2 linked regions of the Elephas maximus indicus genome follow. The protein of the gene in region 1 purifies or fractionates together with the protein of each later gene. This does not show direct contact. Links are inferred from orthologs where the notes say so. Each region holds a gene or a part of one and is shown in the gene's direction. Other genes may lie near its edges.

Region 1 (7,689 bases):
CTTGGATCCACAATCGATGCCCATGGAAGCAGCAGTTAAGAAATCAGATGACACATTGCATTGGGTAGATCTGCTGTAAATGATCTCTTCAAAGTGTTGAAAAGTAAAGATGTCACTTTGATGATGGTCTTAGTTATCTAGTGCTGCTATAACAGAAATACAAGTGGACAGCTTTAACAAACAAATTTATTCTCTCACAGTTTAGGAGGCTAGAAGTCTGAATTCAGAATGCCACCTCTAGGGGAAGGCTTTCTCTCTGTCAGCTGTGGGGGAAGGTCCTTGTCATCAAAATTCCTCTGGTCTAGGAGCTTCTCAGCACAGAGAACCCAGGTCCAAAGGACAAGCTCCACTCCCGGTACTTCTTTCTTGGTGGTATGAGGTCCCTCTCCTCTCTGCTCAATTCTCTCTTTTATATCTTAAAAGAGATTGACTCAAGGTACAACTTAATCCTGTTGATTGAGTCCTGCCTCATTAACGTAACTGCCTCTAATTCTACCTCATTAACATCACAGAGGTTAGAATTTACAACACAGAGCATAATCACATCAGATCACAAAATGGTGGACAGCCACACAATACTGGGAATCACAGCCTATCCTTGACACACATTTTAAGGGGAAATAATTCAATCCATAACAATGACTAAGGTGGCCAGACACAAGCCACGGTATTTTCAATCACCTCACATGCAGGCGAAACCTGGACAATGAGAAAGGAAGAACCGAAGAATTGATGCATTTGAATTATGGTGTTGGTGAAGAATATTGAATATACCATGGACTGCCAGAAGAACAGTGCCCTGGTGGCAGTGGTTAAGAGCTACAGCTGGCTAGAGCTGCTAACCAAAAGGCCAGCAATTCGAATCTACCAGCCACTTCTTGGAGACACTATGGGGCAGTTCTGCTCTGTCCTATAGGGTCGCTATGAGTTGGAATTGACTCAATGGCAACGGGTTTGTTTTGGCTTTTTTTTTTTTTTCTTTTTGGCCAGAAGGACAAACAAATCTGTCTTGGAAGTAGTACAGCCAGGATGGTCCTTAAAAGTGAGGATGGTGAGACTTTGTTCTGCTTACCTTGAACACGTTATCAGAAAGGACCAATCCCTGGAGAAGGGCATCATGCTTGTTATAGTAGAGGATCAGTGAAAAAGAGGAAGACTCAAGGAGATGGACTGACACAGTAGCTATAACAACGGGCTCAAACGTACCTACTATTGTGAGGATGGTGCAGGACCAGGGAACGTTTTAGTTTTTATACATGGGTCACTATGAGTCGGAGCCCACTTGATAGCACCTAACAACAACTAACAAGTGTGGCTCAGGAGTCCCTGGGTGGCACAAACAATTAAGGGTTGGACTAGTAACTGAAGGGGTTGGTGGTTCGAACCCATCCAGAGGCACCTCAAAAGAAAGGCCTGGCAATACGCTTCTGAGAGGTCACAGCCTTGAAAACCCTATGGAGTGCACTTTCACTTTGCAACAATGGGGTTGCCATGAGTTGGAACTGGCTCAACAGCAACTGGTAAAACTGATGTTTTGGGTATTACAGAAACCCTGTTCTTGGAGACTTTATGATTTAGTGCTTCTTCCTGCCCCTCCCCACCCCCTTCAGTGTGCCTAAGGATCTTGAACCTGTGTCTGAGATGTTGAATCAATCTGAGGTGGGGCCAGGGGAAAAGAAGTAAAAATAGGGAAGAAGATGATGCTATGTGTTGTTAATGGGATATTTTGATGATAAAAGCCAGCCAAAACAAAAAACCAAACTCATTGCTGTCATTACTTGACCATGAGCAAGTAGGTATTGTGTGGTTGGTCTCCTGCTTTATGGTGGGAATTTCGTTTGAGAATGTGACTTTGCCCACAGATAACCCACCCAATAGCACATGGCTTTTATGATACTGGCTAAAGGAGATCGATGTGTTGTTTGGTTACATGTTTTCTGGAAGAAAATGGTGGGTAACCTTTTCATACCAATAAACCCAAACCTACTGCTGCCAAGTTGACTCCAACTCATAGCAACCCTACAGGACAGAGTAGAACTGCCCCATAGGGTTTCCAAGGCTGTAATTTTTACACAAGCAGACCATCATGTCTTTCTCCTGTGGAGAAGCTGGTGGGTTCAAACCACCAACCTGTTGGTTAGCAGCTGAGTGCCTTAACCACTGTGCCATCAAGGGCTCCTTTTATACCAATAAAAAAACCAATAGCAATAGTATATACAAGTCAGGCTTTGTGGTAAGTACCTTGCTTTCATGCATTTTCCCTCACAAATATTTGTTGAGTATTTTCTGTGAATAAGTTACTTAGGAAACAGCAGTAGCAAAACAAAGTCCCTTCTGTCTTGATGTTATACATATACATATATATATATATATATATATACACACATATAATTTTATAGCGGAAATATATTTATATAATATAAATATAGCAGGTATATTATAGCGGAAAGAGTCAATAAATATGTAAATATAAATGTTGTTGTTAGGTGCTCTCAAGTCTACTTTCTACTCATAGTGACCCCATGTGACAGAGTGGAACTGCCCATAGGGCTTTCTTGCCTGTAATCTTTACAGGAGCAAACCACCAGGGCTCAAACCGCCAACCTTTTGATTACCAGTGGTGCGTTTAACCATTGGGCCACCAGGGCTCCTTGTAAATATAAATAAAGAAGACAATCTCATTAAATTCTCTAAATCACCTTTAGACATTTTAGGTTTTCACTGATCTTTATTTTTTGACTATATAAATTATATAACTAATTGTGTAAGATTCATTTAATATGGAAAAGTTAAGGAAGAAAGTAAAAATTCTATGACTGTGAAAATCATGACAAATGTTTTGGTTCCCATCATTTCATAGGTACATAATTTTAGCTAAATAAGATTATGTCTAAAATCCCACAATTAAAAATTCACAGGGTAGAGATGCTAACCCGGAATCCAAATATTTAAAGAGATTAAGTTTTTTAAGCCAAGGATTGGATAGGATTTGATCTGAGCTTCAGATAAAGGATTCTGCCACCACCAAAGGGATTATGTTATGAGGCAACGAAATTAGAAGACTATTAAATTGTTCAAATCTGTGATAATTAGGGCCAGAAATGCCCCTCCCTTAGCGGGATTCGGTATGGGGCTTCAGGCATTGGGTCACTAGGGTTGGTGTCAAAACCCCCCTCCCCCCTCACCTATATACCAGACCATACTAAGTCCTCAGTAATGTTTTTTGTATTTATGTTACTGGTAAATCGTAATTCCCGTATATCAATTTTTTATCACTACTTCATTCTCAAAAAAGTTACTGATACAGGTTCACAAATACTGAATTACCACAATATTATAGCTAAAGCACCAAATAATTTGACTAAATCAGTAACTATAAAAACACCAGCAGTAATGAAAATAAGGAGTGCTTGTAGAGCATGCAGAAAAAACCACAGGACTTGAAGCACCATTGTAAATTGGGTAATAATGACAGCTCTAACCAGAGCGTTCTAGAAGGTTCAAAAAGTAAATTAGCATAGCGTTTATCTTATAGGTATATTAACACATGTAAGCTGGCCTCACGAAAAATGTGTTTGTTATAACTAACTACATGGGTATTTTATTAAAAAATAAAAAATTTCTGCTGAAACACTGCACAAAATCTTTTTAGACAGTCATTTTGGTGCCATCTCCTCTGACAGTATCACTCAGTACAGTGGCCACTTCTCACCACCCCCATCCGTCTAGTGACTCCACTGGTTATGAGGACCCACTTAGGCGGCTATTTTGTTCCCTTCCTAGTAGGTAATTTCAGAGCGGCCCAGACATCCAATTTCTCACCAAATAATTTTTCCTCTAGGACTGATATGGATCAGATATACACAGGGCTGCCCCATGTACCTGGTATCTTTGAGGCAATATTTAAAAAAAAAAAGTCATTTTTAATCCCACGCAGTAAATCTCTTTTTGCTGCAGTTGTACAGGACCGCCTAGATTTATAGCAAATGGCAGAGCCGTAACAGCTCCCAGGGTATTAATTATCACATCATTAAAAGAAATTTTCCAGCCTTCGACAAGTCCCTTTCCGGCTGTCCTGCGAGCAGGTGGTTCAGAGCCAGTTTGGGGCGGGGGGGTGGGCGGGGCGGGAGTTCTAAGTTTGTTAAGCTTCTAGCGCGAGGGACAATAATGGAGCAGCAGAGATTCTGCACAGCAGCATTCCAGCTGTCGCCAGCGTTCCCGAGTTCAATGACTGGCGGCGTCCGCTCGGGAGTCCGCATTTTTAAACAACCCGGGATCACGTGGCTGCCAGCCCGCTCTGCAACTGGCCCTCAGAGTCTCACACTTGGCTTTGGCGCCGAAGCTTTCCCCCCATGTGGATGAGACCATTGACTCCATGCTCGGAGGGGGTACGGCCCAACTTCACGGCCAAAGCTTCCCCGAATGAAATTTGATTAGGTCACAGGAAAGGCTCAGCCACGAACTTAAATAATCAAATGAAATACACCGAGCAACGCTGTAGAAGACTCGTTTTGCTAAAAAGAAAAAGCGACCTGACCCGAGCTCCTCCTACACTCTGTGGTGGCCGCAAGGGTGGTTTTGCCCGAGGCGCGGGCTCCGCCTCCACGGGCGCCGCCATTTTGTTTGGCTGGAGGGGAGTGAGCGGCGCCTTGGGGGAGGGGTCTCGTAGGCGCCTTACCTGACCCTACGGCCACCGTGCTGGTACTGCTCCGCAGGGAGGCCTTCTCCCTGGCTACGGGCGCGGAACAATGTACATAAAGCAGGTAAGGCCTGCGCACTCGCCTGGCCCGTCGCTGGTCCGTGAGGAACGCTCCTTGAGGCGGGGGTGTTGCAGTGCGACCCGCGGCCTCGCTCTTCTCCGCGCGAACGGTGGACCCAAGGCTGGACAGGGGCCTGTGGGGGAAGGGAGCGAGGTCCCGGCCTGCGAGCGTCCGGGTCGCGGGGCTCGGAGAACTGGGGCGCGCTCCTCTGCAGCCCGGCCCGCCCCACCCCCCCGCAGGGTCTCTTCTGAGGGAAGCGGGATCTCGGGGAGGTGTGGAGGGGCCGGCGGCGGGGGCAGGGGCCGAGCCGGGAGCGCTGGCAGAGAGGGCTCAGAGCTGGCTGGCGGCCGGCCCGGGGGCGGGAAGGGCAGTGCTATCCTGCAGAGATGGCCCCGAAGGAACCCTGTGGTGGGGGGGGGATGTGAGGAGAGTCGGTCTCCCCTGTCGGGGGCGCCCCTTGGGGTGTCGGCTGCAACCGGGGACCTTTCGGCTCCCGGATTTACCGGAGAAGTAAAAGGGGATCCTCATTCCTGCAGAAGGTGGAGCGCCTCACTCAGTTGTTCACTTCTGTCAAAATGGTCTTCCCGCGCAGGAGTCCACCACAAAGATGAGCCAATTCACGCTATTTGGGAAAAGGTTTTCTATTGGATTGTTGGACTCCAAGGACTCTTTTGGAATGTTTACTGGTTTTGGCTGGTGGTATGTTTGACTGAAGGGAGCGCTCACTGGGCTTGGAGTCAGGAAAGCTGGGACCGGTCTGCCTCCATGATACACTTTTACAATAGGATGTAATGTTGCGTGTTCCAGTCACGCTTACGCAGGGTACTTGAGTTTGAGAGTTCCTTAATAGGTCACTAATTATGATTCTTAAAAACAAAAAATTGGCAATGCTTACTGACAAAAGGAGTGTTTTAAAAAGATTTTTAATCTTCACTTTCCAAAATGAGTTTTTTTCTTATAGAAAAAAATGGAAAGTTTTCTAACTTGCGTTAAATGAGAAAGTAAAATGGAAAGAAATGTTACTTTAAAAAAAAAATTACGGGGAACCCCGGGTGGAAAGGGGAGGGTGCAGTCACATGGACAGGGATTGCAACCAATGTCACAAAACAATTTGTGTATAAATTTTTGAATGAGAAGCTAATTTGCGCTGTAAACTTTCCCCTAAGGCACAATAAAATTAAAAAGAAAAACAGTTACTTTAGAAATTATTTCTTTTTGTGTGCGTTCTCAAAAATATCTCTTTTACTTATTAGGTTATTATCCAGGGTTTTCGAAGTTATAGAGATCAAACAATTGTAGATCCCTTCAGTTCAAAGCATAATGTTATTGGTAAGTGTTCCTGGTTTACTAGATCAGATTTATGTATACAGCCATATAAATTCTGTCCATTCAAACCATGTTATTGGCTTGAGGAGACAGGAATTGTCTTTCAGTATTGCATGCATTTATCTGTTTGAAGTAATCTCTTTGTCCTTTATCTGCACTGATGAATTGCTTATTTTGTAAATTTAAAATTCTTGGGTAAAACAGTTGTAAGTTACTCATTTTTATTTGAGTGACCTTATTTGTGTGAAAGTGTGTTTTAGTAGCTTAGATAACTATTTTTTAAATTTAGACTGAATGGAACTAAATTCAGTGTTTGAGCCATTCTGTTCTTGATATATGTCATATGCTTGTTAAAATGCTCACTGTTTATTTCACAGGTGATCATTCTTTAGTCATAAATTAGATTGTCAGTTTTTCTTTTCCTGTCATAATGTCTAAGAGCTTGGTGGGAAGAGTGTAAATTTTGGAGTATAATGGAATGGGGTTCAGAAATCCCAGTTCTGTTTGAAACTTTACTCTCTGAGAAGCTTCTGTTTTGTCAAAGTGGGACAATGATATCTCTTTCATAGGGCTGTTGGGAAGATTAAATGAGAAAGCATATATAAATGTAAGGAAAAAGGACTAAATAGTGATTGCCATTATACTATATTTAGTCTTCAGATTATATAATGTCCATTTTGCTGATACAGCCAATGAAAGTTTTCTGTCTGCTCAACTCTTAAAGGATAGATGAAATGAGTGCTTCTAAACACACATGCTGTTGACAGAGTTTTGTCATACAGTGTCCTCATTACTAGGTACGATTTATGTAGAAAATCAGTGGATGGTAATGTTCCCAGAAGACCCTGGGAGAATCATACTTCCTTTATTCTAATGTAATGGTTTTATCTGTGCTCCATACATTGGTTGCAACCTTGTAGTTGGAAATAAAGAAAACATGCTTTTCTTCCTGCTCCAGCTATTTTGAAAATTTAGTTAATTGAATTGATGTGCCATAAAGATAGCTTGGTTTTACTGGAATTTTGCTTACATTTTGATTATAGATGCTTTCTGATTTTCATCAATCAGAAAATCTCTAGAAATGGAGAAAAATGAACAATTACTAGATTTATATTATTTCTACATGTTATAAAACCACTTGCCATCAAGTCAATTCCAACTCATAGTGACCCTTTGGGGCAGAGTAGAACTGCCCCATAGGGTTTCCAAGGAGCGGCTGGTGGATTGGAACTGCAGACCTTTTGGTTAGCCACCAAGCCCTTAACGACTGCCACCAGGGCTCCAGATATGTTACACGGTAGAAATAAATACCTTAGTATTTCATTTGTATAGTTTTATAAATGACCTGTAAAATGACCATTATTTATCTAGATTGATTAAATTACTTCTGTAGACTCTACTCAGAAGTCTGTAGAATCTTCCGTAGAGGGTCAGTGAAAAAGAAGACGACCCTCAACGAGCTGTATTGGCATAGTGGCTGGAACAATGGACTCAAACAGCAATGATTGTGAGGATGGCACAGGACCAGGCAGTGTTTTGTTCTGTTGTATATAGGGTTGCTATGAGTTGGAATCGACTCAACGGCACTTAAGAACAACAGTTT
Region 2 (8,150 bases), on another chromosome or scaffold:
CTCCTTCCCCAGGCAAGGCTGTGGAAGATGAGTTTCAGGTTGAGCCCAGCACAAGAGTACTACATCTCAGGGAGCACCATGACACTGGAGCTTACATAACTTACGTGAAAAGTACACAGACAAGTCAGCACAGAGCTTTGGGGCCCCCTGGCCCTCTCTTGCACGCGCTCTGACACACACGCCATCCACACACTTGGGAGAGCTGGTGCACACCACACACTGGCCCTGGCACCACCCTATTCCCACCTCTAGGAATCCCCTAAGGTTGCTGTCTTACCCACCCACTCTTGGAATTCCAGTTCCTGCCCCCACTAAACCTGACTGTGGAAGTAGAGTCAGGAGCATAGGGAACACAATGGAGATGCTCCCAGGGCCATGTGTAACCTAGTGTTTGGGGTGGGGGATAGTTAGCAACAGCAAAGATGAGGGTTAGCAACCAGGGCTGTCATCTGTGAGGACTCAGCTGTGCTAGGGATTCCTTTTCAGGTTGTGTAATAATCTGCTCACTGTCAACGTGTCTTACTTTGAGCAAGGGGCACCTTTTTCTGTTTGCACATGGGTCAGTAGCTGCTTAGTGCCTAGTGTTTCTCCTGATCCAAGGCAACAGCCTCATGACCCCGCAGCCTCTGCTCTGACCTTGGTCTCCAAGTGGCCCCACTCCCACCTCTCTTTGACCATCAGGGATTTCTCCTACCACCTCCCTGCCTGCTGCCCTCTCTCTTGTCTCTTTTCTTTTTTCCTACCCCGACCTTTTCTCTTTCAGACTTGGCCAGGTACAACCAGGGCCTGGGCCCCCCACCCAAGTTCCAGGTGACCCTGAATTTCTGGGAGGAAAGTTCTGACCCTAGCCAAAACCCACAGAGTCTTATTACAGTGCAGGTGAGTTCAGGGCAGGGTGGACGGGGCATGCAGATCGGGCTCCAGGGAGGAAAAGGGCCTCCATGGGGAAGGAGCTCTTGTAGGTAGTACCTGCTGTGCTGCACTCACTGATGGCTTCTTCCCACCTCTTCCTCTACAGATGGAGCAAGCCTTTGCCCGACATTTGCTGGAGAGGACAATGCCAGAGGAGCAGGCAGCCACTCTGCCCCTGAGCCTGGAGGATCCCCCCGCCTTCCCATCTCTTTTCTTCCTCTCTCCTTTAAACAGAAACATTCTCCACACTGGTGACCTGAACTCCTCTGTGATAATTCTCGGTGATTGTCTGTGATGGTTACAGCCTTGAACTCTTCATGCACCCTGGGTGGTAGGAGACTCAAGGATGATTTTTACCCCTTATCCCTCCCCCCACCCTTTTTTTTTTTTTAATTTTGAGGTATACCTTCTTTCATCTCTAAAGAACTGGGAAAATCCAAATGGCTGAAACTCAGGAGACCTTTCCCTCTTCCCCTACACCCCAACTCTAAAGCCAAGCACTTTATATTTGCATCCTAGAACTTCATTAAGCATTTTAAATAAACTTTTCTTGAAAGAAGCATCAGTATCTGATTGGCTGAGAGAAGAAGGTAACAGGGTCAAAAGTAGATGACAGAGATGTAAACTTGGGAGCTGGGCACTTGGGTTCTCTTGCTGCTGACATCTCCGGGCCTATTTTCTCTCCTCTGTCCCCAACTTCTGGCTAGCAGACCGTCTAGGCTCTGTGGGCTCCGGACCCTCTAGACAACTAGAATCAGGAGAAGGTGCAGGGCCAGTCACCAAGAGGGGCACTGAAATGACAGCTGGGCACTACAACCACCTATTTCACAAAGGAAAATTTGCACTCCACCATTCTTTGCTAGAAGCCTTTGGTTAGGGCCTCAACGACAGGCCTGCAGTTGGACTGGAGTTCTAAATGAAAAGAGGAGACAGTTGAGATTGACCTGAAATTGGGCTAGAGGCCTGAGGCCTGGGAGGGGAAATCAGAGGGAAGAGTTATTGAACCTCCTGTGTCTGGCTGCTTCGGTGGGGACAGATGGGGCCCTCCCAGCACAAGTGCATTGTCACCTTGACTGAAGGTTATGCCCAAAACCAAATTCCTCACCCTACCTGAGTCCCACAAAAGACAACCTAGCAAAAAAAAAAGACAGCCTAGGCAACCATGTCACCAATACCCATTCACTGAAATATGAGGGGTCCAAATCAGCTAACACTCTTTTCTTTTAACTCCTGTGTTCGTTTTGTCACCAAACTGGGAATTCTTCCTTCACATGACCACTTGTCACACAACTTTTCTGTATACTCACTGCCACCAGACGAGTTTAGACCCAGGTCATCACTTGACTGTCACAGCCTCCAGCTTACCCCTTCCTGCTCATGACACCAGCTGGGATTTCCAGACTCCTTCCTGTCTTGTCACTTCAGAGGCTCACCGCGTGATCAAATCCAAGTGCCTCAGGTTCTCTGAGGATCTTCCTCTTGCTCTCTTATATGACAAACTAAGTGCTGCTTTTGAGCCTCTCTGTCTCCTGCGAACTTCTATTCAGTCTTGCCCATCATTCTCCTAAGAAGCCAAGAGCCTAAACAGGCGTCCATGCTACCAGTGAAGAAATTAGGTACCCAGTGCCTCACGTGCCAAAGCCTTGTTGTGCCTTTAATTTTTGGAAATTGCTCCTGAACCTTCTTTGTACCAGGTCCTAAGCTATCTCCTTGACTTCCATTTTCTCGCATACCCTACATCCAATCCACCAGCAAATCTATCATTGTTCTTTAAAAATACATTCAGAAGCTGACCACTTCTCCCTGCTTCCACCACCAACACTTTGGAACAAATCACCTGTCATGGACTGAATGTCCCCCAAAAATATCTGTCAACTTGGCTAGGTCATGATTCCCAATACTGTATGATTTTCTACCATTTTGTCATCTGATGTGATTTCCCTGTGTGTTGTAAATCCTATCACTATTTTGTAATGAGATGGATTAGAGGCAGTTATATTGATGAGATCTACAAGATTAGATAGTGTCTTAAGTCAATCTCTTTTGAGATATAAAAGAGAAACCAGCAGAGAGATGTGGGAACCTATACCATCAAGAAAGGAGCACCGGGTGCGGATCTCATCCTTTGGACCTGAGGCTCCTGCACTGAGATGCTTCCAGACCAAGGGAAGATTGATGACAAGGACCTTCCTCCAGAGCCGACAGAGAGAAGAAAGCCTTCCCCTGGAGCTGACTCCCTGAATTTGGGCTTGTAGCCTACTAGACTGTGAGAGAATAAATTTCTTTGTTAAAGCAATCCACTTGTGGTACTTCTGTTATAGCAGCACTAGATGACCAAGACACTACCATCATCTCTTATATCTAACTTCCTAATTAGACTCCCTGCTTCCACTCTTATTCACCTTCAGCCTATTCTCAATAAAGCAGAGATCTTCTTAACCTATAAAATCTGGTCATGTCATACCTCTACTCAAAACTTTCCATTGGTTCCCAATTCAGGGTAAAAGCCCACATCCTTACAATGGCCTCCAAGGTCCTTGTCATGTGGTTCTCATCCTCCTCTCTAACCTCATCCCTTGCCATTTTTCCCCTAGTCACTTTGCTCCAGGTTCCTTGAACCTACCAAGCACATTTCTACCTCATGTCCTTTGCACTTGCTGGTTCTTCTGTCTAAAACACTCTTCCCCCAAGAAGGCACAAGACTTGTCCCCCCACTTAAGTTGGGTCTCTGTTAAAATGTTACATATTCAGAAAAGGTTTACATGAACACCTTATCTGAATACTTACTATTCCTCTTGTATGCTGCCTCATTTTTCTTCACAGCACTGATCACCACCTGACGTATTTCTATTTCTCTACTTGCTTATCATCTCTCCATTCCTACTGCATAAGGACAGAAACTTGTTTTATTCATTGCTGTATCCCAAGTACCTAGAGGAGTGCCTGGCACATACTTATGGAATGAGTGGACAAATGAGTGAATCAATTACTCTGTGTCCCTTATCTCCTAAACTAGTTTCTAAGCACCTTAAAGGCAGGTGCCCCCACTTTTTTATCTTTTTGCCTCAAACTGAGCACTTAAAAATATTGACAACTTATGTATGGTGATTAAAACAATTTGCAAGTATCACATAGAAGCCAATCTAGCCAAGCACAGTGGAAGAGGGACTGGGAACACGAGTCCAGAGAGTGAAGTTCACAACCATGCTTTCACTAAGGAGCTGTGTAGTTTGGGAGGGTCTGTATGGGCCTGTTTTTTCCTCTGAAAAGGCAGGGCTTGGACTAGATGATTTCTAAATTCCTTTCAGCTTTAACATTCTGTGGCGGTAAATTTAGGGCAACTGCAAGCTCACTTGATGAATACTTTTTTTTTTTTTTAGATGCCAGGTATTGGTTGAAAAAAACAGGACCCCCTAACAAGAGCTCTCAGATGGAAGGAGGCTGTAACAAGATTGTGTCAGCTCAGCTGCAATAAAGTGGCAGAAGGTCTGGAGTCAAAGTGGGGAAGGGCATTCTAGGCCAAGGCAGTGGCTGTGCAGAGGCAGCAGGCACGGGGATGGTGAGGGTTTGTAACCACAGTACAACCGTACAACATAATTTCACACAAAGAATGTTTGTGACAAATAAATGGCTTTTGTAGGCGGATGACTATGCCCTGAATCCAACAGAGGACAGTCTATTCCAGCCAGGAGAACATTTACAACTGGAACGACCAGATGGGGCATGCCTACAACCCGGCAATTTCTCTGACTGCTTCACAAGTGATCTGACTTCCTCATTGACCTGTGCCGGGCTGAATCCACCTCACACCGTTTCTACCTCCCCAGCATCACAGGCAATAGGCTGGGCACAAAGTCAGACCAATCAATTACTGACTGATGGAATTTGGCGGGAAGGGCAGGGTTTAACCGCAGGTCAGGCGCCTTACATCTTGGCACCTTGAACAGGGTCAGGGCGGTTGCCCCCTACATGACCCCGACCTCCGCTGGTGAACCGCTGTTGTTACCAGGTCCCCTGAGGGGGAGAGGCTGGGATTTGCTCTCCGCCCATTGGTCAGTGGAGTAGCACCTCGGAGAAATGCTTGTTACTAGAGGCGAGAAGGAGAGCCCATTGGACAGGACACCTCACAATGGCCCAGCAGCACGCAGGTTCTTCCGATTGGTTCGCTGCTGTCTCAGGAGACCCCTGTGGCCTCGAACCCCGACAGACTGCTTCGTGCCCAACCCGACTCCTGTTCCCCATTGGCTGTTCTGAGGGTCTCCGCCCTCAAATAAGGAGCGAGATGCAAAGCACCCGAGCGCTTACTCCCTGCCGTGGGATCTAGTCCTGCAGGGGGCGACCCAGGACGGGGACTGCAGGTGCTCACGCTGCGTGTAAAGACGGAGGAAATCGGCACCTCGCCAGAGGCTGGGAAGGTCTACTGCGGAGGACACCTGGTCTCCCTTGGGACCTGGGCTGGGGCTGAACCTTTGGGAGCTCAGCATCTCCAGCCTGGAACCCAATCCGGAAGGGTCCAATAAGTAAGTTCTAAGTACCCATACGGCGCGCGAACCCACTCAGGTCTCACGAAGAGGGGCGTCCCACACATGCGTATTGAATCTGTTTATCTCAATTGTTTATCCGTAGATTGTTCATCAGTTCATTTATTTGGCTTTCTGGGGCCACCCCGCACGCCACTTGTCCAAATCTATCTCTCTGACGGTGTTGGGAAAGCCCGAGGGCTAAAGAATTCGGATTGAGATCCAAACGGAGGAGGGGCGGAGACAAGGGTGAAGCCGCGGAGGGAAGATGTTCTACTACCCCAACGTGCTTCAGCGCCACACAGGCTGCTTCGCCACAATCTGGTAAGCGCGGGGCCTGCTGGGGGCGCTCCAGGAGGGGCGCCGGGAATCTCAGCCTGACGCTGCCTCCACCCCACTCGGCTCCAGGCTGGCAGCTACGCGCGGCAGCCGCTTGGTGAAGCGGGAATACCTCAAGGTGAACGTTGTGAAGACCTGGTAAGGCCCAGAGAAGGGAGGAGAGGCCTGGTGCCTGGGTGGGTCAGGGAATGGCTGGGGTGGGCAAGACTGTGAGGCCGGTCCTCGGCGCAGCGGTGGGCAGCGAGGAAATCCTCCATTACGTGAAATCCTCCCCCAGTGAGGAAATCCTCAATTACGTGTTGGTTCGAGTGGAGCCCCCGCAGCCTGGCCTGCCGCGGCCCCGGTTCTCCCTCTATCTCTCAGCCCAGCTTCAGATCGGCGTGATCCGGGTCTACTGCCAACAATGCCAGTACCTTGTGGGTAAGGCGGGAAGCCTGGGAGGTGGGGCAGAGCGGAGTGGCCCTGGGCTGCCTGGCTCCCGGCGCTGACCCTTCCTGCCCCCAGAGGACATCCAGCACATCCTGGAGCGGCTGCATCGTGCCCAGATGCAGATCCGCATTGATATGGCAGAGGCTGAACTGTGAGTGTCCCCCTGGGACTGAGCCCACCCAGCCTTTGGTGGGATGCCCACCCGATTGGCCTCCACCCTTCTCAGCCTCAGTCCTTCACAGCCCACTGCCTCCCGCCAGACCCAGCCTGCTGCTGCCTAGCCGCCTGGCCATGATGGAGACCCTGGAAGATGCTCCTGACCCCTTTTTTGGGATGATGGCTGTGGAACCCAGACTTCCCAGCCCCTTTGAGATCCCTCAGGTAGGGCTCAGTCCCCTGGAACACCTCAACTCATGAAGTGACAATGCAGAAGTGGAGGGCTGTCCCTGTGCCAGTCTGGCAGTGGGTTAGGGGAGGGGGCCTGCCATAGCTCTCCCTCACAGGAGATGGTGGGCTGGTTCAGGCACTTACCCATTCAGGCCAGCCTGCTAGGATGGTCTCTCCCCAGGAGGGAGCTCCTGTCCCTGCTCATCTCCACACTGTTCCTGCTGCCGAGACCCTAATCCAGGCCCTCATCATCTCTCTGCATGAGGCTTCTCTACCCGTATCCACCTCCAAACCATTCCCCACACCCCCACAGCTTGGATGTCACCCGCTTCCTTCAAACACACCTCCAATAGCTCCTCACTGTAAACAATAATAGCATTTGGGGCTCTCCATGCCGTGGTCCAGAGCTAGCCCTCTCCAGACAGCTCTCTCCTCGGCAAATCCTCTGGGTGTCCTTGGCTGCCAAACACCAGTCTGGCCCCTCAGCCCCACGTTCTCTTTTTCTCCCCGTAGCTCAAATGGTCATCTCTCATGTTCTACTAGTTACATCCTCTGTGTCCTTACAGACCTGGCTCACACGCTGCCCTTTTTCACGCCTTTATCCCACCCTCAGCCAGAACCAAATGCTGTTTCAGAACTCCAGGCATTTTTAGAGCCACGTTTTACCTTTTGCCTTGACTCTTGTAGGGGTCATATACAAACCTGTCTCTCTGCTAGGTCAAAAATCTTTCTGTTCACCTCTGTCCCCCATGACACTTGACATAAGGGTGCAGTGCTTCTTGCATAGATGGACTGACAAAAGCTAGATGATGGGGGGGGTGGTGGATGGGAGGAAAGGGAACCAGATGGGGAGTGGGCTCACTGCAGGCTGATGTTAATGCAATGAGAATTAGACATAAAAGGGTATCACTGTCCACTGTCTGAATAACTATGGAGCCCTGGTGGTGCAGTGGTTAAGAACTTGGCTGCTAACCAAAAGGTTGGCAGTTCAAATCCACCAGCCACTCCTTGGGAACCCTATGGGGCAGTTCTACCCTGCCCTATAGGGTCGCTATAAGTGGGAATCAACTTGATGGCAGTGAGTTTGGTTTTTTGGTTTGATCTGAATATCTAAGGTTGTGGAAGTAGAAAAGCAGGGGGCTGATGCTGATTCCTATCTTTTGTCCCCAATCCCTTCCCAAAGATTCGACGCCTCTTAGAGGCCGTGACCCCAGAGAGAGTTCTTGAGGAGATCCCTCCTGAAGTCCCTCCAGAGCTCAGGGAGCCAGGTGAGCACAGAGAACCTTCTTTCTGTGAGACATAGGAAGGCCCAAGAGCTGAGGAAATGACTATCTTTGAGCTGTCCCTGAAGTCAGGCCTTGTGAGGGGCACTTTATATGTGTAAACTCACCACTGCCTTAGAAGAGTCTTATGAGGTCAGAATTTTTATCCCCATCTTACAGATGAGGAAAGTGAGGCCAACAGTGGCTAAGCACTCTACCCAAGGTCAGATCGCTTGTGACTGTCATGAGCCTGACTAGAACACAGGTTGACTTCATGCCAGAGTTGGTGCTTTTGCCTCAT

The links.
Region 2: the proteins of SMC3 (region 1) and REC8 purify together in Homo sapiens (affinity purification with mass spectrometry; 3 studies listed by BioGRID and IntAct, with this or other methods). This does not show direct contact. The link is inferred for Elephas maximus indicus from reciprocal best matches to the Homo sapiens genes SMC3 and REC8.

Annotation. Positions count from the first base shown.
Region 1 is NC_064834.1:61,393,489-61,401,177, forward strand, and holds the start of SMC3 (structural maintenance of chromosomes protein 3), read left to right. Parts: upstream 1-4,602; 5' UTR 4,603-4,748; coding exon 4,749-4,763; intron 4,764-6,013; coding exon 6,014-6,089; intron 6,090-7,689. UniProt on the Homo sapiens protein: Central component of cohesin, a complex required for chromosome cohesion during the cell cycle. The cohesin complex may form a large proteinaceous ring within which sister chromatids can be trapped.
Region 2 is NC_064828.1:35,520,441-35,528,590, forward strand, and holds the start of REC8 (meiotic recombination protein REC8 homolog), read left to right. Parts: upstream 1-5,035; 5' UTR 5,036-5,432; intron 5,433-5,538; 5' UTR 5,539-5,700; coding exon 5,701-5,756; intron 5,757-5,840; coding exon 5,841-5,909; intron 5,910-6,048; coding exon 6,049-6,191; intron 6,192-6,275; coding exon 6,276-6,351; intron 6,352-6,460; coding exon 6,461-6,581; intron 6,582-7,770; coding exon 7,771-7,855; intron 7,856-8,150. Other genes in the region: IRF9 (interferon regulatory factor 9), read left to right, coding at 764-879, 1,019-1,207. UniProt on the Homo sapiens protein: Required during meiosis for separation of sister chromatids and homologous chromosomes.